Oryzias latipes: one gene and its partner. The protein of the gene in region 1 interacts with the protein of each later gene in a pairwise test. Links are inferred from orthologs where the notes say so. Each region holds a gene or a part of one and is shown on either strand. Other genes may lie near its edges.

Region 1 (13,299 bases):
GTACAGCTGAAGCTGAAACATAGTTTGAAGTGAATTTGTACACAGCGAAAACTGAATCTTCAAGTTAAAAGACCCTTGTTGACCTTTGCAAGAAAAATAATCGTATCTAGAAACATTTTCAGTATGGAAATAATCTTAGTTTGAGAGAACATCTCTGACTAGAATGAAAATGAAAATTATTGTTAAGACCATTTTTCTTTCCCCATTGGCAGATTTTTTTGCCAATCTAAAGAACATTAAATTATATCTGCAAAAAAATACCAACTACTGTTATCTTTTATTCTTGTATTGTGTATAAAAGAGCCTGAAGGCTGTTCCTTCTGTTTCTTTTTTCTCCAACCTTTTAAGCATCCATTAGTTTGTTGACAACAAGTAGGAAGTAATAAAAACAACTTACAAAACTATCATTTTAAATTTGTTTCACTATGATTATTATGTTTGTCCAATATTTGCCCCTCTGAACCAAACTCCCCAAATGTGGCCTAAAGCAGTCGAGTATCTTCATGTAGACATGCAAAACTGAGATTCAAATATGTAGAATCAAGTGTCATTGGAGCATTCTTTTCTCCTGAAAATGCAATTAAAAGGGAACGCTTGCTTCCTGCAGCTCTGCGTGCGCTCCATGGCGTCTCTGGAGACAATCGGTCCTCTGATGGCTGCGATGAAAGTGCGGGCAGACATGGCGGGCGTGGCCTGTGAAGCTCTGAACCGCATGTTTCAAAAGGAGCAGACGGATCTGGTGGCTCAGGTATTCTTTCTTCTTCTCCCCCCCACTACTACGTTGACTTTTATTTTGAAAGCTTTCTAACAGAATTGATGTAAACAGGCTCTGAGGGTGGATTTAGTTCCGTACCTCCTGAAATTACTGGAAGGAGTTGGTCTGGAGACGATAGAAAACCCCTCAGCTACCAAGGCCCAGATAGTTAAAGCTCTCAAGTCTATGACTCGCAGTCTGCAGTACGGAGAGCAGGTATGACGAAATCTTTTAGACTAATATTTGTTGGCCTTCTTGGTTCCATGATTGTTCATGTAACTGTGAACCCTTTTCTAATTTTGCAGGTTAATGAAATTCTTTCCAAGTCCTCAGTGTGGAGTGCCTTCAAAGACCAGAAACACGATCTTTTCATCTCAGACTCTCAGACAGCCGGCTACCTTACAGGTGAAGGGATTTTTATTTTACTCTTTTTACATTTCTGATTTACAATTTAACCTGCAACTTCTCTAACGTGATCAATTTCCTAAAAAGGTAAGTAATATCTGTAGTCTGACCCCTTGATGCTCTGCTTTACCCCTTAATAAAAACCACCTGGCTAATTCCTGACTTTATGCTCAAACCCAGCGACCCTTTTTCTCTCCTGTGACTTCCTGGTTCTTCCCTTCCTGTCCTCTTTTTCTGCCACTTGCGTTTCCTTCTTAGGGGTTTCCACTCCTTCTCTCCTGGCTGCCAGCAGCCCACTGCGAGGTGGGCTCTAGACTCCAGAACTTGGCCCTCCTCTTGCTTGCTCTGATGCAGGTAGACTCCAACCTGGCTCCCAATCTGCATTCATTTCCTGTTCCCTGTCTATCCTTATTCATCTAACAACTCTGTCGCACTCTGAGTCGTTTTTCGCCCCTCCACCTTAGATCTGCTCTTTAGTGAATCCACCCGAACTGCGTCTCTACTGTCTAGTTTGACAAAGATTCTTAAAATCGGAAAATCCATGAGGCCGATTTGCGGCTTCTATGTTTGCTTTTTCCAGTAACTAATTGACATCAAGTCATTTTAATTCAAAATGTCCAAAACTTGAAAAGTGCAGTTATTAAGGTGATCTTAAATTAATAAATGTAAAAAATAATTAAAAAAAGATGGCATCACAATGGGAGAAACCATCAAAAAATGAATGGGGTCAAAAAAAATAAAAATAAAGGACGTGTCTGGGATGTCCAAAGGAAGTTTAAAAACTGTTATAGAATGGCCACAGGACTAACTGTTTGATTTGGAAAAATGTTGGTTTTAATGTTTGTAGATTTTGAACACGAGCATTCCCCTTTTACTCGCACAGTTTTTACCAGAATATTGTGAAAGTTTTATACATGGATTGTCGGTTCTGGCTGAACAAAATGATATTACATACAGAATAAGCATATTAGGAATGTGCTTGACAAAAAAAAAAAAAAAACCTCTGTTGCCAAGGAAATCTGAAAATTTACTTTTGCAGATTCTTTTAGAAATTACTTAAATCAGTTCGTCACCTCCAGGCAGCCAAAACATGAAATGGTTGCTATGGAGATAAACTAACAGAAAAGCCACCATTTTGAAAAAGTTTTTTTTCTTTGTTTTTTCATGAGTTTTTGGCACAGGGTGACGGGGGCAGAATGGGAGAGTAAGGGGTGTGTAGAAGCTGCTCAGCTAGCCAAGGCGGGTAAAATTGGGGGCAGGTATCGCCTGCAGCCCATACAACGCCAATATCGGCTTTAATCTTTTACTAGGGTCCGGAAAATTTCACAACTGACAGTGAAGATTTGCATTGTCTAATAAGCTTTATCCCAAAAAATTCTCTAAATCATCTAAAGCCAGTTAAATGTAGAGAAGCTTAAGAGGTTTTCTAATAACTCCTGTTAAAAAAAAAAAAAATGTAAAAAAAGAACTCCCATCCATCATTTCTCGTGTTACTTTTATCTGCAGGTCCAGGAGTGGCGGGTTACCTAACAGCAGGAACTGGCACCACAGTTTTATCCAGTGTCCCACCCCCTGTGGACAATGACGTTGGAGACCTAGGCTGAGGAAGCGGCGTGCAGTCACGCTCAGACACTCGGACTGCCCCGCAGCCTCACCAACGGACTGTCTGGTCAGCAGAAAAAGGTCGGGGAGAGGGAAAACAGAAGAGCGGGCCCTCACCTTTTGTCACAAAATCTTTCAGACATCAATCTCCCTTCTTTCAAAAGAGAAAAAAAAATTATGCACTCAAGTCTTCATAAACCTTTTGTTTTTTAGTGACCACATTTGTTTTGTTTCTATTAATTTTTTCTTGTTTCTTTCAACAACAGAAAAAGTTTACTTTTGTATGAATATATTTTTTACTCTAGATTTTTTTCTAGGCAAACCAAGGCTTGTTATTTAGGGAATGTTTTTCTTCCTCTGATGCGTTAAACTGAAATTATTCCGACGGGATTTATTTGCCTCCATGGTGTCTGGACCTTTTCACCTCTCACATGACATGTAATTCACAAAACTGTCTTTAAAAATACACCAGTAATGGGGAAAAAAATGACTTTTTCTGTTCGGTTTGCGCAAATGAACAACTCTAGATCAAACCTTCGACCTGCATACGTTTTTGGGATCATTACACGAATCTGCTCCCCTTTATTTTCCAGCCTTCGACTCTTCATCATTGATTCTGTTTTCTTTAGTTTAATCTTCTTCCATGACTCATTTTAAGTAATTCTCCTCCCAGAAAGCAAAAAGCACTAGAATATTTATAAATGGAAAAATAACCACCGGAATGAGCTTCTGCTGACCTGAGTGACTGATTAAGAATATTTGTGAAAGACTAGTGCAATTTGTGAAATGTTCCATGTAATATTGCGTATATAAAATTTCTACATGAATGTACATTTAAAAATAAAAAATCTGTCACACTTGTACATAAAATTTTAAGAATAAAAGGGAACCCACAGTGTTGTTCTTTGTATGTCTATTTCTGTTTGTCTAATAATCAAATCTAGTAATCATACTATTGTCAAATATATATTTTTAATTGCTTAACATTCAGTTAAGATTATCTATATTTTTTATGAAAAGGTATCAATATTTCCACTACCTACTGAGTCTAAGTCTTCTTTACAATTTTAGGGTAATTTGGGTATTTCTGTAACTGATTAAATAAACAATCTTTAATATTATTGTATATTTATTCTTACAGAAGACGTATTTGTAGTCTGAATGACAGTTGGCTTTGATACAGATTTTTACAACAAATGTTTTGATGAATTTCTGTCATATAGGGAAAATGATTGTGTGGGAATGTATGGCCCAAAATAATTATTTGGGGGGGGATAGTGAAAACCAAATTGTAGATAAATTACTATTGACGTCACATGCCGGGCATGACTTTGAAGTTGTACATGCAGACATGTAGCTTTTTTAATTTAATTTTAACCAAATACATTTAGGGTGATTAATGGTATATGTTTCAAACTACTATTTTACTAGGACAGTGAGTTACATATGGACACTCTGACGGATATATATTTTTAAAGTTTTATGCTAAATGCGTGCCGTCCCGGCCAAGAAGAAAGATCTCCGATTCCACTCGGACACATTACGGAGTAACACCGGAAGTTACGCCGAAAGGCGCGAACAATGTAAACAAATAACTGCATTTCATTTGGCTGAGCCTGAGGACTTTTTAAAATTACTATTATTAGAATAAACTTGTATTTTTATGTCAATTTATTTATTCATTTTGGCAAAATAGAATGTTGAACACCAACTTACTTTACTTAAGTATTCTTTCGTTTTTGACAATTTGAATGTTAGCTAACCCGATTGGACGTTTTCTGTAAGCTAGTAGTAGTTTTGATCTAAATGAAAGTATAAACGTAGCGACTCCTTGAATTAAAAAAAAAAAAAAAGCATTGTACGCATTACACCAGACTATTGATTACATGCTGTCTGTATTGCGGCCTAAAGGACTGGTCTAAACGGATTTATAGGTAAGTACTTTCCAGTTTAAATATATTCATGATGATGTACTCCTTCTTGAGTCGTTCCATGGTCTGTAACATTTAGTTATGATGACAAGTTGTATTCTTTTGGCACATTTTAAACGTCTTCCCAATTCGGCGTCTTTTTACAGAATAAAATTCGCTAAATAAAAAAAAAAACTTCAAGTTAAAAGTCTAGCTAGCGTTCAGTGCTAACATTGAATGTTAGCTGACTCTGCCGTCCCATCATGTCCAGCAGTTAAACCTATTTCAGCTGTTATGCTGCACCCAGATTTTAGCAGCTTCCAATCCAAACAAACTCAAATGCTCCCCGGCTGTGTTTATAATTTTAATGATTTTTTTTTAAATCCTTAAATTACTGCTCCATCAAATGTACTTTTTAAATTCATTTTGTTTGATTTTTATTGCATGCTGATATAAACATGGCATCAAAAGTTGGGCACGTAAAGAAGATGTTCTCTAACTTTTATTTTGACTCTTGTGTAGACTCAACATGTCCAAAGTGGAAAAGGAGCGCTTTATTGTGAAGTTTGTGGAGAGTAAAGGATCTAATGCTGAATATGCTGTTAAAGCGTATGAGGTAAACACAACTGCACAGTCCTTTCTGCAGACGTTTTTTTCTGGATGTTCATCGATGTATATTTATTTAGTATTTATTATATAATTTTCATCCTATTCTAACAGGCCATTTTGGAGCTGCAGTCTGAAAAATATTTAAAGAAGGTTAAAGAGGAAGAGGTTTTACAGATGGAAGAGAAGGACAAGTCTCTGTTTGTGTTCAGCAGTTTTACCTCTCCTGCCTTTCTGCACTGCAAGAAGGTTTGTCGCCTTAGTGAAAGCAAAATTCCTGGCAGGATTTTTAGGAATGAACGCTTCGTTGCTCTGTGTTGTGCAGCATGGCTGTAGAATCGTGAGCCCCTTGGTGGTTTTGTACTGCCTGCAGCAGCAACGCTGCGTCCCAAAAGCAGAGAAGCCGGTCTACAACATGGCCATGGCTGATGTCACTATTTCCTGCACCAGCCTGGAAAAAGCCGCACGGGTGAGTTCTGGTCTGTCTTTGAAAAATGCTGAGACTGTTGCACCATTTCATTGCAGTTGTGTTATTTGCATGTATTGCACTGATAATGTTTTGAAAACTAGTTAATTAAATCTGTGCATCATTTCGTTTAATGCAGATTCTTGCATTTTTAGGCACAAATATCTCTGCTGTTAGTTTTTGATATAGAGAATAAAAGAAACAGTTTTTTTTACATGAAACCAGAATAGAAACTTTATAATTAGTTGTTGTTTTTTTAGGTTAAATGAAAACCCAAATGTGACCTCATGAATTGACACTAAATCACTTTTATGCTTTCACGGGCCACATAAAGTGACATGGCGGGCCACATTTGGCCTTCGGGCCTTGAGTTTGTTCATGTTTATGTTTTGTCTCACTCTGCAGGTGGATGTGATGGATCTGGTGCAGCTCATGGGTGGACGTGCCTGCCTTGATCTTAATGTGTCCGTCACACATTTAATTGCTGGGGAGGTTGGAAGCAAAAAGTATCTGGTGGCTGCCAACTTGGGTAAACCCATCCTTCTACCCTCATGGGTCAAAGCCTGCTGGGAAAAATCTCAGAATAGGTATGAACTGATTATTTTTGTTTTACATATTTGCTCCTGGGTGGCGCAGTGGTTAGCGGTCTTGCCTCATGGCAAGAAGACCCCTGGTTCAAGTCCCGGCTGGGGGACCTGAAATGGAACATCAAAAGGGGGTCTTTCTGTGTGAAGTTTACATGTTCTCCCCCGTGCATACGTGGGTTTTCTCTGGGGACTCCGGCTTCCTCCCACCGCCCAAAAACATGAGAGTGAGAGTGAATGGGTGTGTGATTGTGGACAGTCTACCCTGTGACAGACTGGCCAGGGTGTCCTTCCCCCACAAGTGGCCGGGATATGCTCTGGCAGCCCCGTGACTCCGAAAGGGACAAAATGAAAGATGAATGAATGAATCAATGAATATTTGCTCCTTTGTGGTCTTTATTATAAGTGCTAATAGTGTATTGTTATTTTTACTCTTTACACTTCATCACCCTAGTTTCCATAGATTACCGCTGATTCATAAAACTAAGTTTCTGTAGAGTTATATATTTTTTATTCTCTCTTCAGCCTTTTTAGATACACAGACTTGCCTATGGATGAATATCTGTGCCCCGTGCTGCTCGGATGCACCGTTTGTGTGACAGGCCTGTCCAGCACAGAACGCAAAGAGGTGCAGCGCCTCTGTGAACAGCACGGCGCCAAGTACAGCGGCCAGCTTAAAATGAACGAGTGCACGCACCTCATTGTCAGTGAACCAGCAGGTGAGACACTAAAATATAGAACAAAACTGGACTATAATAGGAATACCCGATACGTCCTCATTTTCATGAACATTCACTAACACAGTTACGAACTGTTTCATATTGTAATGAGTTTCTCTTCTTTTGTGTCATATTTTACTGTTACTAATAAAGCTTTGATAAAAAATGTACATTTTTTTACTCTACCACCCATCACTGCTGCTTTACAAGCATATTAGTTTGTGTTTCCATAATATACTGTCATGATGAAAGACGTTTGCTCTCACTACAATCACCTGATAAGTCAAAGCAGATTTAGATTCAAACAAACTTATCAATATCATTTTCATGCAGCTGTCTGCCTGCAATCATGGTGTGCCTGATGCTGTTGTGTAATCCTTTAGGGATGCAACAATTCCCTTTGGTTGAGGCTTCAATTTTTGTGTCACCGTTTTGTTTTTGTTTGATATATGATTTGTGTATTACAAAACGTCAACAACAAAAACAACAAAAACAATATGGAGAATTATTTTTTAAATTTGCTTTTAAGCAAGTAGCAATTAGTGTAATGTAATAAAATAATGTTACATATATTAAGTTTAGCACAACGCATGTGTTTGATGCTTACGGTGTAAACGTATTCAAATGTATCCACTTTGTGTCACCCCTCTTAGAATGAACCTATTAGTTTGTTGTTTTCCTGTAAAACTCTTCCAAAAGTGTAAAAAATCTGGAATTGTAAAGGTGATTGTTTTTAGAAAAAGTTTCTCATTATCAAAAAAAAAAAACAACAACAGCGATTTAGTAATGAAGTTAACACAACTGGTGGTGTTTTTGTTCTGAAGGTTTATGTTTTGTTGCAGGTCAGAAGTACGAGTGTGCTCGCAAATGGAATGTGTATTGCGTATCTCTGCATTGGCTATTTGACAGCATAGAGAAAGGTTTCTGTCAGGATGAGAGCAGGTACGCCGTGGAGCGCCGCGCGTCAAATACCAGCCGACCTCACACCTCAACCCCCACAGGCAACGGCAGGAAGGAAGGCGAGGAACAAAAAGGCTCAGAATTCACCTTTTAGACCTTAAAAAACGAAACATCTTTAACGTGTTGTCTTGTGAAACAACATTTGCCTCCTTTAGATGGTCCTTCGCTTTTGGGCTTGAGCAACATTTCTGTGAGTGGCAGTATGGCGATCAACGACACGGCCCTCACCATCAGCCGCCTGGAAACGGCCGATCCCATAGATGGTTTGGATCTCACCGTTTGTCCTGCTGATGACTTACTGGATGGCTGTAAGGTAAATCACTGACAAATTCCATTTTACTGTCGATGCTTGTTTGAAAGTGAAGTGCAGGATTTGAAGGCAGGACTCTTCTGCGCTCGCTACTTCACAGCTGTATTTGTGCGGCCTTCCACTGAAGAAGCTGGAGAAGCTGCGGCGTCTTGTCAACAATGCAGGAGGTCTACGTTTCAACCAACCAAGCGAGGAACTCACACATGTGGTGATGGGAGAGCCGGACCAGGAACTCACAAAGTTTCTTTCCAAAGCAGCTTACAGGTTTGATAAAATCCCTGAAATTCTGTGTCTAAATATTTAATGTTTTTTTTCCCTTAAACTGACTCTAAGCTTGTGCCGCTTGGATTGAGTTAAACGTCAATTTAAGTATTTAAGTTCTGAGTTAATAATTTCTAATTTTTTGTGATCAAGCTGCATCCAAATATTTAAAGAAATTGCAGATAAACTTGAATTATTCGGATGTAAAATAAATAAATAAAGTAGGATTTTTTTTTTAGACATTTAAATGGAATTAATATTAAATTTAGTTTGCCATTTAAGTCACAAATTTTTACATTTCTCAGATTTTTGATGCCTTTTTTAGAAACTGTAGATGTGATGTCAATCATGTAAAATTAGGATCAAATTAAAAAAACAGAAAAAAGTGTAAATTGAGGAATGAAAGTAAAAAGGGAGAGAAAATAACAGCAGCTGTTATAAATAAACATTTTCTTTTCATTTGGTAACAATTTAAGGTTTATAGTTTTCAGTCCTTCCGATTTAAAATGAACATTGTTTAAATTTACAGTGTTTACTATCAAGTTTAAAAAACATTTGAATTTTCTTTTTTTTTAAATTTACAATCCAATTTTTTGATTAACTTTAAGCTGAACCTGATTGTAACCCTTTATTTTACAGAACTGTTTGAACAGACCGAAATTCATTTATGACCATTAAAAGGCTTCGATTTAACCACAACTGAAAGCAGAAAGCGATTGTCAATCACACAGAAAACTCTCTGTTTCATTTAAACATTTAAAGCAGATTAAGCATAAAATGTAAATGGATTTATGGATTGGCCATAACGTATCCAACATCATCTTTCTTGTAATATTTAGTAAGGATCAAGAAATAAGTGTGTTTTTGAATGTTGAGAGGCAGGAAGCAGTTTCGACGTTTGCTGTGGTCTTCCTCACAGGCCTCATGTAGTCACGGTGCAGTGGCTGCTGGACAGTTACTCCAGAGGCAGGCTCCTTCCAGAAGCTGAGTATTTGCACCCCGACTGCCTGCCTCCCGATTCTGCATCCGTGCCCGCCGGTCACGTGGTGAAGCCCCGCCTTTCGGCCGGTCCACCTGTTGCCAGCCCCAGCACCCCCAGACAAAACAGACTGGAGGAGGATCTGCTCTCTCAGTATATGGACGATGATCCCACAGTGGGTAAGAATCTGTTTGTTTGTTTTTAAGACTCTGGAAGAAATTGGTTCAAGTTCAGTGGATCTGAGAGCCAATGCTTCTCCCCGCGTTCATCCTCCAGTTGATATGCCACCACCAGCTGCAGAGAACAGCGGCAGAAGGTCGATCAGTGCGGCTGCAGAGCCTCAGTCGAAGCCCCAGGCTCCCAGCCTCACCAGGGGACCAGAGCAGGACTCCGCTTTGCAGGAATTCAGCGAGACGGGCCTGTTTTCTGGGAAGTCTTTTCTTTTCGTGGGCTTTGGTGTTGAGGCGGAGGCACAGCTCTCCACGCTGGTGATTGAACATGGAGGAAAGGTGCTGGCTGGCCGCTGTCGCGCGGTGGCAGACTATGCCGTGGTTCCTCTGCTGGGATGCTCGGTCGAGGCCACAGTTGACGAGGTGGTCACGGATACGTGGCTGGTAAGAACAAAACCCATCATTTTTGCCCGGATTTTCTGCAAATCCCGGCTTTCTCATATTTGTCTTTTCTTTGGCGTTTCCCTGCCAGGCCATGTGTGTGGAGAAGGAGTGTGTTCTCCTGCTGTCGTCCAACCCGCTGTTCACTCCTGTGGCTGTGAGGGAGGGCTGCTTCCCTCTGGAGGGCTGCGTTCTCTCAGTCAGCCAGTTCATCGGAGCAGAGAGGGAGTCTTTGATCCAGCTGGCCAAGCATGTCGGAGCCGAGTACGATGAGCTTCCGTGACCTTTTTTAGAACGGCTGCAGGGGTCTGAATATTCCATAAACTCCTGAAGACCCACTCCGATTAGTGGCATTTTTTATGATGACGGAGGACATATATAAACATAATTAAGCGTAAAGTTGCGTTTCTAATTATTTATTTGTTCTAGCCGTTGTGAATCAGGAGCAGACAAAAAATGCTGTTGCTCTGGAGAAACTATGTCATAGAAAAAGACACAGTTTTTTAAGTTTTGGCTAAAAATGGCATTATCCTAATTAAAGACCTCTGAAAACACTTTCAAAATAGATCAAAAGATGACTGGAGTGGGACTTTAGTGGTTTCTGTTCATTCTAAATATGATACCTGATTTAAGTTATCCTAATCCTCATCTTCTGCCTGCTGCAGTGTCCAGGATTACTTTGTGCGCTTTGCTATTAAGAAGAAGGGCATGGTGGCCAGCACTCATCTGGTTTTGCAGAGTCCAGACGGCACAAAGTTCCAGGCAGCAAAGAAGTGGGGCCTCCCTGCTGTGAGCATGCACTGGATTCTGGAGTCGGCTCGAACAGGACAGAAAGCAGCAGAGGAGATGTTCCTGGTTGATCTACCTCCTTCACCAGGTTAAAGTCCAGCATTTGCGCGTCTGTGGTGATTCATTGTTGGCATCATCTTTTAATGTTCTCCTCCTCTACAGAGAGGGACGATGAGAGCTTCGTCGGCGGCTCCCAGAAACCGGCTCAAGCTCGTAACTCTCCAGAAATCCCCCTGCTGGGCCCGCAGAGCGGTAAAGCTGTCACCCCTCTGGATTTAGGTCGCTTTCAAAGCAAAGTGTTTCACTCTGTTCTGGATGAGATGAAGCCCAAAGACGGCCTCAGCACTCCCAAACAAAACCCGGATGGCAGCAGAAGACACGCCCACAGGGAGGCGTCGCTGCAGCTGGACACTCCCTCCCGTTTCCTCAGCAGAGATCAGCTCTTCCGTCCGTCCTTCAACGTCAAGGTTGTGATTCACTGAAAGCAAAAGAGGGCAGACTTTTCCTTTATTGACCTGAAACCTTTGTGGGTTTTGCTCTCCAGGATGCTCTTGGAGCTTTGGAGACTCCAGGGGGAAGGTTGAAGCCAGGCGAGAAGGTGGAGACTCCACTTACTGATGTCATCAACAGGAATCTGAAAGTAGCTTTAGCCAATAGCTCGCGGAATAATGTCTCAGAAATGCAGGCGGCTTCTGGAAGCCCTGAACTGGGAAAATCCACTGAGAAGGAGGTAAAAATGAAAGAACTACACAACATCTCCTGTCTGCAGTTTTCACAAGTTTGTGGTTTAGTTCCTTATGTGTTTAAAGACTCACTTCAGTCATCCTTTGGTCCAGTTTTAAAGTCTTCTAGTGGTCTTTTAATTAGGACTATGATGAAGTAGTTTCTGCAGAACAGCAGTTGTTATCGGGACCGTCGGCACGGAGCAACCCCGCCCCCTCTCCCTGTCACCACTCTGTTTTAGGGATCTCCAGCTAGCTTACAGCCCCTCCCACCCCCGACCTAACATTAGCAGTGCGGCAATATTGGAGCCGTACAGTTTTGATGCAGATTCCAGCTCAGACGAGGAAAACAAAGACGTGCATGAATCTGTTTGCATCAGAATGGAGCGGAGCAGGGAGCTCCTGATCAGAACAAAGAAAAGACTCAGAAATGCAACTTCCAGTTTAGATTGTTATTTATATATGTTCTCCGTCATCAGAAAAATGCAGGAAGAGCATTTTAAAAACACCAAAATGCTATTTTTATTGGAGTGGGTCTTTAAAATGAAACTGTGTTTGTGTTTTGCACAGAAGGACCCGCAGAAAGAAGCCGGACCGCTGGCTGGAGTTGTGGTCTGTGTGGGAAAGAAGTTGAGCAAAATGCAGACTGAACTAAACGCCGTCGCTGCCTCACTGGGAGCAGACTTCAGGTTTTCCACTCTTCCTCACTCAAATCCGTTTGTACTTCTGTGTTCTGTCACTTTGCCTCTTCTTCCGCCTTCAGCACCAGGCTTTCATGGCCGGTAAACAAAGTGTTACGCCCCTTTTAACCCTCCATACAAAATATAACAAATAACTAAAAGTGAATCAAAAAGGCTTCAGGGAAGGCCGGTTGCAAAACAGCACCAATTGTGAAGAAATATTTTACATTGAATGAAAATGATGTCTCTTCTTCTCTTTTGCAGGTGGGCTTATGACGACACGGTGACACACTACATCTACCAGGGCCGGGTTGGGGACAACAGCCGTGAATACAAAGGAGTGAAGGAGAGGGGGGTGCATGTGGTCTCCCAGTACTGGCTGCAGGCCGTATGTTTCCCTCTAACTTTGATTTTAGCTTCATTTATGACAAAGTTGGGTTTTAGTCCCAAATGTGTTAGTTTTCTTTTTTAAATTTCATATAATGTTTTTACGTAAATACTTTTAAAATGAAATGTCGAGTTAATTTGGCCAAAAATGATATTAAATTGTAATGGTTGAACGACACTGAGAGGCTGGTCGTGTCCACAGTTTTTGTCTGAAACAAACCTCCTCTGGTTTAGTGCGCTGATGAGCAGAAACGGGTTCCAGAGTCCCTGTTTCCTTTCACCTACAACCCTAAGATGAGCCTCAACCTGAGCCAGGTGCCCAGCAGCTCCCAGAGATCTCCACCTTTGACACGGACACAGCGGAGAGACGCCGCTGCAGCCAAGGTGGGTGGAAACATGGCCGTCATTTATCACAAAGCCCTGGTTTTTAGAGCTTCTCATGTCGTCTTAAATGAGTTTTCTTTGTTGTTTAGCTCAGTTTTTCCGAAGAAGAAGCTCCAGCTCTGCGCCGTGCGAGTGATGGAAGCGCGGACCAGGAAGATCTTGATCACACA
Region 2 (11,895 bases), about 18 Mb from region 1:
ACCGCTTTTTTTTTGTCCAGAGGATGGAGTTTGTTTTAAAGAAGCCAGCGCAGTGATATAGAACATTTAGGCGTGGTATATCACTGTGGTATATCACTTTTTAATCCACACCCAGCAGCCAATCAGAATCGAGAATTCACCCTGACCATGCTATAACTACTTATAACTAGAGCAGCTGCTGCACATCAGTCTGTGAAGGATTATGACAGCTTCAAAACTCATTTTCCTCATGTTACTGTTTGTATAAGTTCAGCCTAAAGGTCAAAGGAACTGTGAGGACTCAGAGCTGCTCACGCTACAGCAGACAGTTTGGATGGAAGCTTTTAAAGCAATGGAATCATTGGTTCCTGTAAACCAGCAATGTCCTTTCTTCCCAGAACAATGAAATGGAAAGCAAAGCTGGGTTCTGAAAGGTTCTCCAGGAAATCCTCTGAACTGTCTGTGTTGTGCAGGTGCTGGAGCTTGTCCTGGCCATGTGCTGCGTCTCCGGCCTGCGCTCGCAGCTGTGCGACGTGGTCTTCAGGCCGGCTGCACCCAAACTCAGAGCTGTGGGCCGAAAGCAGGGTGGGGGCCTGGAGTGTGGTCTGGCTTTGGTGCAGTGGCTGACCTCGCCTGTGGAGGGCGCCGAGTCCTGCTCACTGCAGGTCCTGAGCCTGCTGAACAAGCTACTGGAGGTAGGACATGAAGACAACCCATTAGAGTGGGTCAGTGCTTTAAAATGCAGCTTTAAAAGTCATTTTTCTGTAAAAGGTGCATTTTATCATCCTGCTGCGTCAATTCAATGCTGGTGGTGCTGCTGCATCCAAACGCCTTAAAACACGTAGAAAAAGAAGGTTTTGTGCGTTTCTAGGAGGAACATTGTTCAGCGGAAGGTTTGTTTTAAACCTTAGTTCTGCTGTATTTCAGACTCAGACTTTACATGAGCCCCGCCGTCTGGGGCTTTAGTGAGCTGATTTAAAGTCACTATGGAAACCAAAGAAACTAAAGCTTCAAAGGGGAAAGCCAGAGTTTTCTTGTTGGGTTTACAACCAGCACTTTTTGTTTCTGTACATTCACATGCACACATTTAATTTTTTCTTTGAATTTTCCCAGCCTCCTAAAGCCCAATTCTGTTGCAGTAAACATTAAAATGTTAACATCTGAAGAATAAAGTTGTTGTTTCACAAATACAGTTGGAGCCAGTTATCTGATCGCACTGTGTAACACATCCATGGCGAGTGACTCATGACCACTGTCTCGCTGCTTCAGTAAAACTCTGTCACAACGCCCTCATCTTCGTCAGACCTGCGTCATGAATGTTCTCCCCATTGCCCGTGTGGTGCAGGTTCTCGTCACGACTCTCTCTCCTCTCAGGAGTCGCTGGCAGCAGAGAGCGTGTCTGAATGTGCGCTGAGTTTTGTGGAAATGCTCCTTCCGGTCCTGCTGGGTCTCCTGAAGAGTTTGGATCCAGCACAAGGAGACGCGGTCCTCAGGAAGCATTGCCAGCGTGTCACACATGTCACCAACCTGCTGCTGAATATCCTCCACAAACATCTGATGGTCTCTGTAGAGCAGGAGTCTGCAACCTTAAACGCTAAAAGAGCCTTTTGGAACAGCTTCTTCCAGGTCAAAACCCAGTGAGAACCGCTGAGTCCCACTGCACCATTTAGAAAATACATTTGTTTATTATAAATACAGCTGTTTATTTATGAATGTAGCTTTTAATTATTTACAATGATTAAACTACAAAAGTGTTTTATTTTTCTAGGTGGAACAATTTGATCTCCAGAAATACATGCTCCTTTCAAAATAAAACACACCCTGTGTTATGTTTCTCCTGCTGCAGCAGATTTACCTGTTTTGAAAATGCAAGAACATTAAAATAAATAAATAAAATTAATTAATTAATTAATTAATTAATTAATTAATTGATTAATTAAAAAAATTAAATAAATAAATAAAAAAATCTGACAGCATTCGTGTAAAATCCAATTTTTGTTTTAAATGTATACATGTAAATCTTTTGATCTACTTTCCCAGTGATCTTTGAATTATGATTATAACGTTTTGAGCCAAGATCGAAAATCTGTGTCATTTTCTAGGACATAGTTTCTGCAGAGCGACATTAGTTAATCAGAAATTTGTATCTGAGTTGTGGGCGGAACCATTGGCGTGGAAAGCCTGCCCTAATTTCCCAACATCCTTTGTTTACACTCTCTCCCACTAGCTCACAGCCCCTCACACCCCACACCTAACATAACTGGTGTAGCAAAAGTGGCGATCAATATCGTAGCTCTCCAGCCGTCCAGTTTAGATCCAGACGTTCATGGATCTGTTTGTCTGACAGTGGATGATCAGAATGGAGCACAGCAGGAAGACTTTGACCCGCTCAGCGTATTTTCTACGTAAAAAGTAGACGACCTTTTTTAACGTTATTTATTTCTTCCTGATTCACAACAATTTGAATAATGAAATACAATTCTAGGATCAATTTTCTTTATACAAGATGTCCATCAAATACCACAAGATCATGTTAAAAGCGCCCTTTTAATTGGATTGCATCTTTAAAGAGCTTTGTGTCTGAACAGCAACCACTAACTATTCTGCAGCAGAAGATCAGAACAGGGCTTTAAGCATTTTCTAATAATAAACCAATTTGACAGTAGAATAAACCTTTTACTGCTCAGTGATCTGACTTAACAACCTAAAAAGAAATGATAAAACTTAACAAAATAATCCAAGCTGCAAATGAATTATTTGTTGTAATCATTTGCATTAAAGAGCCACCTTTGGCTGCGGGGGCGTCAGGTTGCAGACTCCTGGTGTGGTGTGGTGTGGTGTGTGCAGCTCTTCCCCTCTGAAGCCTTAACTCTGTCACCTCTGTGCTTGGAGGAGTCCAGCAGGTCTGTGGTATCAGCTCAGGTCAGTGCTCAGCTCTGCCTCACACAGGTAGAGACTCTCCTCTCCTGTTGTCATAGTAACGGCTCAGTCACCCTGCATCCCCCCCAGTGTGAGGATGACCTTAGGTGAGAGTGTCTGTCTGTTGTTGTATGATTTAAGCTGCAAACATTTCCAATATGCACGTCCGGTTAAAGGGCGGTGGTAATGCAGATGTCACTGGTGCGGTTTTCTTACAGTCAGGTCTGCGCAGAGGCTTTGCTGAAGACTTTAGAGTTAATGAGCAAACTGAGGCAGCAGGTGAAGGACATGGAGACCGGCTTCTACAGGATGTTACAGGTGCTCCTCATCATCATGCATCTTCATCTGCTGCTTTGAAGTTTGGCTCTAACTTGTTTCCCTTTGCAGGATCAGAGGATTGTGACTCCCCTCTCTCTGGCCCTGACGTCCCACCACAGAGAGCATGTGCAGACTGCTCTCGCTCTGCTGCTTGAAGCCACGCCCCTTCCAGACTTCCCCTCAATGATGTGAGTCATAGGCCAGAAAAAGTAAATATTGTTTTCTAATAATGCCTATAAACAATTTTTAATAATTTACCCCTTTTTTTGTTCTCCAGATTAGGAGAAAGCATTGCTGCCCACAATGCATATCGCCACAGGGAGGCTGAGCTGTCAATCAAGAGGCTTGCCGTGCAGGAAGTCCCGCCTCCCAGGGTGAACAGCAGCATGGACACTTCCAGCTCCTCCAAGACTATCAGCAGTCTGGCGGAGAAGATCCAGAGTGGGCTGGAGGTACAACCTGCGCCAGCGTCTTACTATGACAGTGAATGCATGGAAACACATGACTGCAACCCCCCCAGCATCCCACAGACCTGTGCCGCCAATCACTGACTTACCTTTCACTGGTTAGACTTGCTCCTTCAGTTTTGCGTGTTCACTGGGTTTTAATGAGCTTTCAAGTATCAGAGTGAAGCACAAATATCAGTGCAGTGCTGATCCTTTTGAAACAAAGAAGTCTGATTAGTAAGAAGTGAGGCTGCTAAGAAACACATTCAGCATTTCAGTTAGTTTACAAATGATCCATTTATTCTGTCTAAAAACAGCTTCTTTTGGTTTGAAGAAAGTTTTGATTTTAATGAACTGATGAGTCTTCTTTCTTCATATTAGTTAGCAGCTGTCCTCTGTTAGCAGTTGTTATTGTGCCGCTGCAGGCTCAGTGGGCCCTCTCTCCTGTTGTGCAGAGGTGGGCGACGAGCCAGGAGGTTTTTCTATTCTGTAGATGGTTTGACATTTTGAACCCTGTGCTGTTGGCCTCGTGTGGCCTGTCTGCGCTGCTGAACCCTCTGTGTTTCTGCCGGCAGCTGCAGGAGCAAATGAAGGACTCGCACGTGTCGGACATCATTGAGGTCTACGAGCAGAAGCTGGCTGCGTTTGCGGTGAGGTTTCCCGAGGCTTGTTTCCCGTTTGCTCGCCGTTTGAGCTCACTGTCTTATCTCAGAGCTGCACTTCAGCAGATGAAGCTTTTGTAGCAGATGTGTCTGTGTTTCCCGTCAGTCTAAGGAGGGCCGTCTGCAGGACTTGTTGGAGGCCAAAGCGTTGGCGCTCTCTCAGGCCGACCGTCTCATCGCTCAGTACCGCCTCCAGCGAGCTCAAGCAGAGGCAGAGGTACTGCAGACGACCTGTCAGAATTCAAACCTTTGTGAAAGATCCAAACTCTGAAAGCAACATGGTTGGACAGATTCCATGAAGATCTTAGTATTTATCAAACTGAATGAACACATAAAGATTTACAATCTTAAGGATTTGAAACTATTGATCAGTAGATCTTTCTACAAACCAAGGTATTAGGCCACAATGGAAGGCTACTTTTATAGAAGAAGAGCGTTTGTTCTAATGGTAAAAATTAGATTTTTATACAGCATCCTGGTGCTGTGGATTAGAGTCCCACATGGGTCAATGTAAGGACCGGAAGTATTCATCCTATATGTCAATGATATGATACCACATTTAAAATGTGGCATTTAGGCACATAACTGATCACTTAAAGAATATATAAATAGCTTTATTAGTAGCTCGCCTCGTGATAAGTCAATTGTTGTAAAAGCTAAACATGAATGTTTGATGTTGACCTTTCTGCATATCCTAGATTTTTACGCTGGATGCCCTTCCTGACATAACCCTGTATTTTATCTGGCCTGGGGACCGCTGTAGGTACTATAACCGTTCGGCCTGGAGCTTCCGTTCGGCGTCCTGGGGCTAATGCTGACGTCACATTATGTGATTGGCTGTACGTTGTTCCGATGACGTGTCAGATAGTGATTGGTCTGGACAAATACTACCATAGAGGAAAATGTTATAAAGTCTGTTGTAAACAAACGTGCCTTTATTATTGTTATAATTATTATAAAATTAATGTTCGCTTATAGTTTTTTTAAATTGTGCGTCCAGTGCTTCATTATTGGCAGAACGGACCCAAAAGCACAACATTTAGCCGTGCTAACAACATTTTCAGCCACGGCTGAACTTAAGCTGGAATAACAAGCGGATTGAGGCAAAATCTATTTATAAAAATTACAAAGAATATTGTCAGACGCAATTTATGAGGGAAAATAACTTTAGGTTACAAAAGGGAACGTGAAATGAAAATTTGCAGATGTCGATGCTACGTAGTTTGTCCAAGTGGGGTTACCGTAGTGTGACGTTACCTTCAGTCAAAAGGACCCCGAACGGAAGTTCCAGGCCGAACGGTTGTGGTACCTACACCGGCACAGGGGGACCCAGACTTGTGGCCCCTTGTGGCTACATAGTTGGCTACAGTGTTGAGGGTCTAAGGACCTGCACTGGATGAAGCTCATCATCCCCCCTGGGAAACTAACCCTGATTTTCTATGTGCCAATCTTCCAGCTGCCTTAAACCTAAACCGCAATACATAACCGTGTTAATTAATAAAAGGGATAACATTGAGCCAACTATTGACAAAATAAAAACTGATGCAGTGTTTTAAAATAATAGATCTTTGTGAAATCTTATTCAGACAAAAGACAGACTTTGCCGTCCAAGATGCTGTCGATTCAGAACAGTAATTAGAAAAAGGCTACAGATGTCAGAGCTCAATGCGGATGGTTGCTGAGGTTTTCCACCTGCAGGCTCGGAAGCTGGCGAGTCTGTTGAAGGACGCCGAGCGCCGGCGGGAGGATCTGCAGGGCAAGCTGAGCTGCCAGGCTCTGGAGGTGGAGCGATCCAAAGCCGACATGGGAGAGCTGCTGCAGCACAACAGCCGACTGCAGAGGGACTCTGAGGAACACCAGGCTCTGAAAGGAGCCTACAACTCCCTGCTCAACAGGTCAGAGGCAATTCTGAGGAGCATTTACATCAACCCTGCAGGCTTATTTCTGCTTATGAAATAGCTTTTGGTTGTGACTGTGTGGGACAGCTGGACCCCTTCTTTAAGTAGAAATTCTCAACTTTGTTTACCTTGATGCAGCTTTGCTAGTTTCTTTGGCCAGTTCCTTAATCCGGTGGCGTTTATGGCAGGTCTTGTGTTACTTCATGGCCTTTATATTCTCAGAACCAAGCATTAAATGGCTCATTGGTTAAAGGCTTTAGTAATAGTGTGTTGGAGTAAAGACCCCCTGGTTTTTATCTTTCTGGAACATTTCCTCTGCAGGTTTAATGAAACAGAGCAGCTGCTGAAGGAGCTGCAGACCGCTCACATTCTTCTCACCAAGCAGAGCGACTCTCTGAAGAAGACCCACGATGCTCTTCAGCTGCAGCACCACAGGTGATTGTGTCTGAGTCCTGCCCCCTCATCTCTAGATGAAGGTTTCTCCACCCAGTTTTTACACAAAACACGCAATCCATCTGTGAACAAAACTGCTGATTTATGCGACCAAATGCTAAATAACAGCATCAGCAAAAGGAGGTTAGGCACCAAAGTCCCAACGCTGAATCACTTACTGGAACAAAACACTTCCCACCAACAATGTTACCTCACATAATGGGGAGGAAAATGAATATAATGACAAATACTGGCCTGGATTACTAAAGCTTAGCAAAACAGATCCAACTACAAGGAGCTGCATTTCCAGAAGAAAATGCAGGCTTGAATGCTGAACTGCTGAATGAGAATGAAAGTTAGAGTTATAATTGGCAAAAGAATTTTAAATCAATAAATGATCAAAGTTGACCATAAATAAAGTGAAAACAGCACAACAACAAAAAAGGTATGTTTGTGAAAAATGCCAGAGCCGGGTATCGAACCAGCGAGCTTCAGCACCAAGGATTCCCCGTGGATTTCAATGTAAGCAGAAATCCTGGAATATCTTGAAAAGGTCAAGGATTTGAAGGTCCAAAAGTCACAGCTGGAAAAAGCTGGAAGAGCTGAACATTTGAATAGTTGAATAGATAAAATAGCTGAAAAATTGTAGAAGGAGTTAAGCGGCAAAAAATGGCAGAAGATACTATAATTAAGAAAGAAAAATAGGAAAACAATTGGTTGAATGCTTTATAGCATTGTCAGTTCATCAACCATGAGACACTAGCAAAGAGAGCTGGGCAGAGCAGACCATGATTCAGCAAACAACCCCGTGGTTCTGATCCTGTCGGGGGTGAAGACCACCAAGCTCTGAACCGCCACAGCTGAGCCCCCCTCAGAGAGGTGACACAAGACGGTGATTTTAGGGAAGACTCTTCACAAAGATCCACAAAGCGCAGTGAGGTCCCACTCTGCCACAAAGACAGTCCACAGCTGCAGGCCTTACAGCCTGACGTCTCTGCTGACGCTTCTGTTGCTTCTACAGGACGGCGTCTGCTCTTCAGGAGAGAGAGGAGGAGATCAAAGCACTCCATTTAGAGATCCAGAGGAAAAACAGCGACATTGCAGGTCAGTGTGGAAGCTCTAGATCACTCATGGCTGAATTTGAGAGCTTTAGAGGGTGTATTGGGAATGCGCTGTCTTTGCTTCTGTCCTCTGGCAGGTCTGCGTGTCAGCCTGCAGGCCGAGGAGGAGAAGGTTCAAGAAAAGGAGACAGAGAGGAGAAACCTGGAGGAGACTTTGGACATTTTGAGGAAAGAGCTGAACAAAACGGAACAGGCCAGGAAAGACGCCAGCATTAAGGTACGAGGCCATCTCATCACCCTTAGACATGTGCACTCTCTGTCCTTTCAATTTAACACAGGAAATGTTTAAGATTAATATTCTTTATTCAAATTATGTGATTGAACACTGTTAGCACAGAAAACAATGTTTTTGGTGTCTCAAAGCTTTCCGTGTGCTATTCTGTCTGAGAAACTTCACATGGAAGCAGCGGCCTGAACATGTTCTGCTTTGCAGGCTTCCTCTCTAGAGCTGCAGAAGAGTCAACTGGAGTCAAAACTGAAGCTCAGAGAAGAGGAACTGAACAAACACTCTGCCATGATCGCCATGATTCACAGCCTGAGCAGCGGCAAGATGAAGAGCGACGTTAACCTGTCACTCTGAGGGGCAGCAGATGATTGGCTGAGAAAATCCTAATTGAAACACCGTCTTCCATGAACTTCAGAGGCCTTTGAGAAGACTTTCACAACTGAGGAAGCTTTTTAGATTTAATAAAACGCTTAAAGAATTACTTTTACCCAAAATTGATATTTTATTGACATTTTAAAATCACTTTTTATTTGACAAATAAACAGTGGAAACGTCATTGTGGTCAAACTTCAGATCCAAGTGATTTGCTTTGGGTTGAGTTGATCTTTACAAGCTGGAGCCTCATGTTGTTCATATCTGACTGGAAAAGCATTTTCAGAACAGGGGGGCAGCTCCCTCTGCTGGTACAATGTTGTTGGTGCAATTTCTAAAGAAAACCCAGACTGACAACAGTTCAAGCTTAAACACAGGGGTGGAATCTTTAGCTTTTTAAAAAGCTGGGCTACTGGGCTGCATGCAGACGGCCCTAGGTTTTCTTCCGCAGTCCAAAAATGTGTTTCATAGCTTACATTAAAATGCTCCCTGGAGCTGACTCAGGTCTGGTTGTTTGTCTCTGTGTGGCCCTTGATGGACTGGTGCACTATTCAGGATTTACTGACAGGAGCTGGGTCAGATCCAGCTCACCCATGATCTCAAACAGAACTAAGCGGGTTTAGAAGGTAAAAGTCTTCACCACGGACATTTCTATTCTCTTCACAAAGTGCATCACCATCTGACGATCCTGAACTCCAAACTTCTCCATCACTTCATCTCTGTTCCCTTCACCCACATGTCTGTTAGAGTTTGATCCAATCGTCACTCTCTCCTCTGGAGAGCCTGGATCTCCTCATCCATCTCCCTCCAGAATTTCTCCTTCTCCTCTGCAGCTCCTATTCTACCTGGGGGTCATAACCCCTGACAACATTCAACATCACACCTTCATCTTCCAGCTTCAGACTCATCCTCCTATCTGACTCTCTCTTCACCTCCAGAACCTCCTGATCAAACTCCTCCTTCAGGATCTCCTCCTCTGCTCCTCTTTCCATCCACATCATGATAAAACAGCTTGGAGCTGCTTCCAATCTACCAGTCTGGATCTCTTTCCATCTGAAAACACAGCAGATCCATCTTTCTGCTTTCTAAAATGTTGACCAACTCTCTAGTTTTCCTGTCAAAGTTCCTACTTATCTCAGTTCTTCACTCCTGTCTTTCCTTTGTCTCTGTGGACAAACTCATCTTCCTTCTCTTCTTTCAACAACAGTCGTCCATCTTCCACCAGGACCATGTAGATCATCAGTACCAGTGTTTGTCATTGTTCATCTGGATGATGACCATTCTGGAAGGAAAGTTCTCTTCATAATTTTAGGATTGATTGAACTTTGTTTTTTTTTGTCAAATGTCTCTCCTGACAAAACTCTGCATTTATACGGACTTGGGACAGGCACGCAGTAGTGTTGGATTTTGCCCCCTTGAAGTTGAATTATTCAAACTACTGTCTGCAGCAGCCTTGGTTTCAGTTCAAAGACTTGAGCAAACCTGGTGATGTGGACAAATATCTCTAAGATTTACCTATAACTTCCAGATTCTGCATGCAGGAAGTGAATCCATTCTAACTCCAGTGGGGAGCTCTGTGTGATGCTCCTCACAATCGCTCTGTAATGGACAATTGGTTTCTTACGTCTCATTCCTTTTTCATAAATGGCCAATAGAATTGCTCTTTGCTGTTTCCCTAATGTTTCATTTTGCCCTGCTGGTGGGTTAGTATTGTGGGGATCTGCCCTCATGAGCTCTTTCTGTCTTTGAGTTTTCCTGTGCAACACACCAAAGTTTGCTCCATTGTTTAAAACTCTTTTCAAGTTTTTGTGTCAAGGCTCTGTGTTCTTCCTCTATGGGATTTCTCTGCTGCTCACTCACGATTGGTGGTCAATGACTGAAAAAAGCTCAGCGTGTTGCCAGTTTGAACATAGCACTGAAGGAGCTCATACACCATCCTGCTGGGATGGTGGTAGGATATCCCAGTGGAAACAACTGCTTATTTTTACAGTGAACGGTGAACACTTACTTACATTGGTGTCTGTATATAGGGCACCGTAAAAGGACATCATCATCCACATTTAGTTTATTTGGTTAAGACTCTAAGTCAAGGATGAAATTGACCGTTTGCCCTAACCCAGGAGTATTTTTGATGTCAAAACTACTCTGGCTTCATGAATTCTATAGTTTAGTTAGGTCTCACCATCCCAGACCCCTGCACCTTTGATGTGCAAGATGCGATGGAAACATCAGGAAGAAGGAACATGAGAAACTGGAGAAATACCAGGGACTCAGAGAAGAACTGGAGAAAGCCTGGAAAGTGAAGGTGACAGTGGTGCCTGTGGTAATTGGAGCACTCGGCGCAGTAACCCCCAAGCTGGAGGAGTGGCTACAACAGATCCCTGGAAAGACCTAAGACCTCTCAGTCCAGATAAACGCAGTGCTAGGAACAGCTAAGATACTGCAGGACCATCAAGCTCCCAGGCCTCTGGTAGAGGACCCGAGCTTGGAGGAGAAACCACCCGAGAAGGTTGGAAAGAGAATCCAGAAAAACATCTCTCTTTTCACCGTCACAGCAACACATTTGGCTGTAGAAAGGCCATCAACAGCTGGGAAGTCTTTCACACTTCTTGACCTACATGTCTTTTTCAGAGACATGATTCAAAGTGACTTTATACTGGGAGACTCTTTGGAAAGAAGTCTCTTGCTTCTGACAAATGGTGATGGTTGTCACTCTTTTAACTCAATATCATGTAACACCCAAAATATATGATTACGGTTAAGCAAAAAATTACTTTATTCTCCTAAACAGTTCACTCAGGAAACTTTTACTCTTCCAAGAGTGACCAGGCCTTTGTAGATGACCCAGTGGAGGTTAATCATTTTTTTCCTGAGTGATGTGACAGTCCAGCATCTCTACTTCTCTCTAAAGTCTGTCATGGAGCTACCCCTCCATCTCCAGATGGGGCCACAAGGTTTCTAAAGCCAACCCAGGGTGAAGGTGGAGTAAAGCAATCATGGTGATTTTTAAAAAGTGAAATTTAATGATGATGATAATAATAATAATAATAATAATAATAAATTCAACTTCTGAATGTGTGGTGACTGAGATTAGCTAAATGAGTTGCAGGAAAAGCAAAACAAATGTTTGGGAACTGCAATCTCTACTTTTCATAACAAAAAAAATATTTATACGTTTGTGCACATGAACAATCAAATAAATAAAATCTGATTATTACCGGTCCTTATGATCTGACTTGTTTTTTTTCACTTCATTTAAATTTTAATTCTTTTCCTGCTTTTATTTTGCTTGAAGTGGCCTATTTCCGGTTCCCGCTCCAACTGCGGCTAACTTGTTGGGTTTTAGTCTCGCGCGCAGAGTTAGCGGCTCAGCATCCAGCTCCCGTCTGCGCCTGTGACTCCACCGAACCTGCGTCTGCGCGCCGCCTGTCTGCTTTGACGGTGACAGCCTCGCGGGTTTCTGTCGTCGCGCGGGGTGTTTGTGTGAAGAACGTGAGGAGTTTAGCCGCCCGGAGCGCGGAG

What was found.
Region 2: the proteins of topbp1 (region 1) and cip2a interact in a two-hybrid assay, tested with the Homo sapiens proteins (2 studies listed by BioGRID). The link is inferred for Oryzias latipes from reciprocal best matches to the Homo sapiens genes TOPBP1 and CIP2A.

The regions. Positions count from the first base shown.
Region 1 is NC_019878.2:21,466,541-21,479,839, reverse strand, and holds the start of topbp1 (DNA topoisomerase 2-binding protein 1), read left to right. Parts: upstream 1-4,278; 5' UTR 4,279-4,344; intron 4,345-4,350; exon of another isoform or gene 4,351-4,695; intron 4,696-5,193; 5' UTR 5,194-5,200; coding exon 5,201-5,287; intron 5,288-5,391; coding exon 5,392-5,526; intron 5,527-5,602; coding exon 5,603-5,746; intron 5,747-6,148; coding exon 6,149-6,330; intron 6,331-6,852; coding exon 6,853-7,046; intron 7,047-7,888; coding exon 7,889-8,065; intron 8,066-8,161; coding exon 8,162-8,319; intron 8,320-8,416; coding exon 8,417-8,580; intron 8,581-9,496; coding exon 9,497-9,735; intron 9,736-9,832; coding exon 9,833-10,170; intron 10,171-10,258; coding exon 10,259-10,431; intron 10,432-10,832; coding exon 10,833-11,044; intron 11,045-11,118; coding exon 11,119-11,423; intron 11,424-11,500; coding exon 11,501-11,686; intron 11,687-12,248; coding exon 12,249-12,367; intron 12,368-12,622; coding exon 12,623-12,746; intron 12,747-12,979; coding exon 12,980-13,129; intron 13,130-13,218; and 1 more. Other genes in the region: dnajc13 (dnaJ homolog subfamily C member 13), read left to right, coding at 608-748, 827-970, 1,060-1,159, 2,666-2,763. UniProt on the Homo sapiens protein: Scaffold protein that acts as a key protein-protein adapter in DNA replication and DNA repair. Composed of multiple BRCT domains, which specifically recognize and bind phosphorylated proteins, bringing proteins together into functional combinations.
Region 2 is NC_019878.2:3,264,399-3,276,293, forward strand, and holds the end of cip2a (protein CIP2A), read left to right. Parts: intron 1-452; coding exon 453-674; intron 675-1,353; coding exon 1,354-1,516; intron 1,517-2,857; coding exon 2,858-3,005; intron 3,006-3,116; coding exon 3,117-3,216; intron 3,217-3,285; coding exon 3,286-3,404; intron 3,405-3,493; coding exon 3,494-3,668; intron 3,669-4,237; coding exon 4,238-4,312; intron 4,313-4,430; coding exon 4,431-4,541; intron 4,542-6,022; coding exon 6,023-6,219; intron 6,220-6,543; coding exon 6,544-6,657; intron 6,658-7,675; coding exon 7,676-7,758; intron 7,759-7,852; coding exon 7,853-7,992; intron 7,993-8,208; coding exon 8,209-8,355; 3' UTR 8,356-8,877; downstream 8,878-11,895.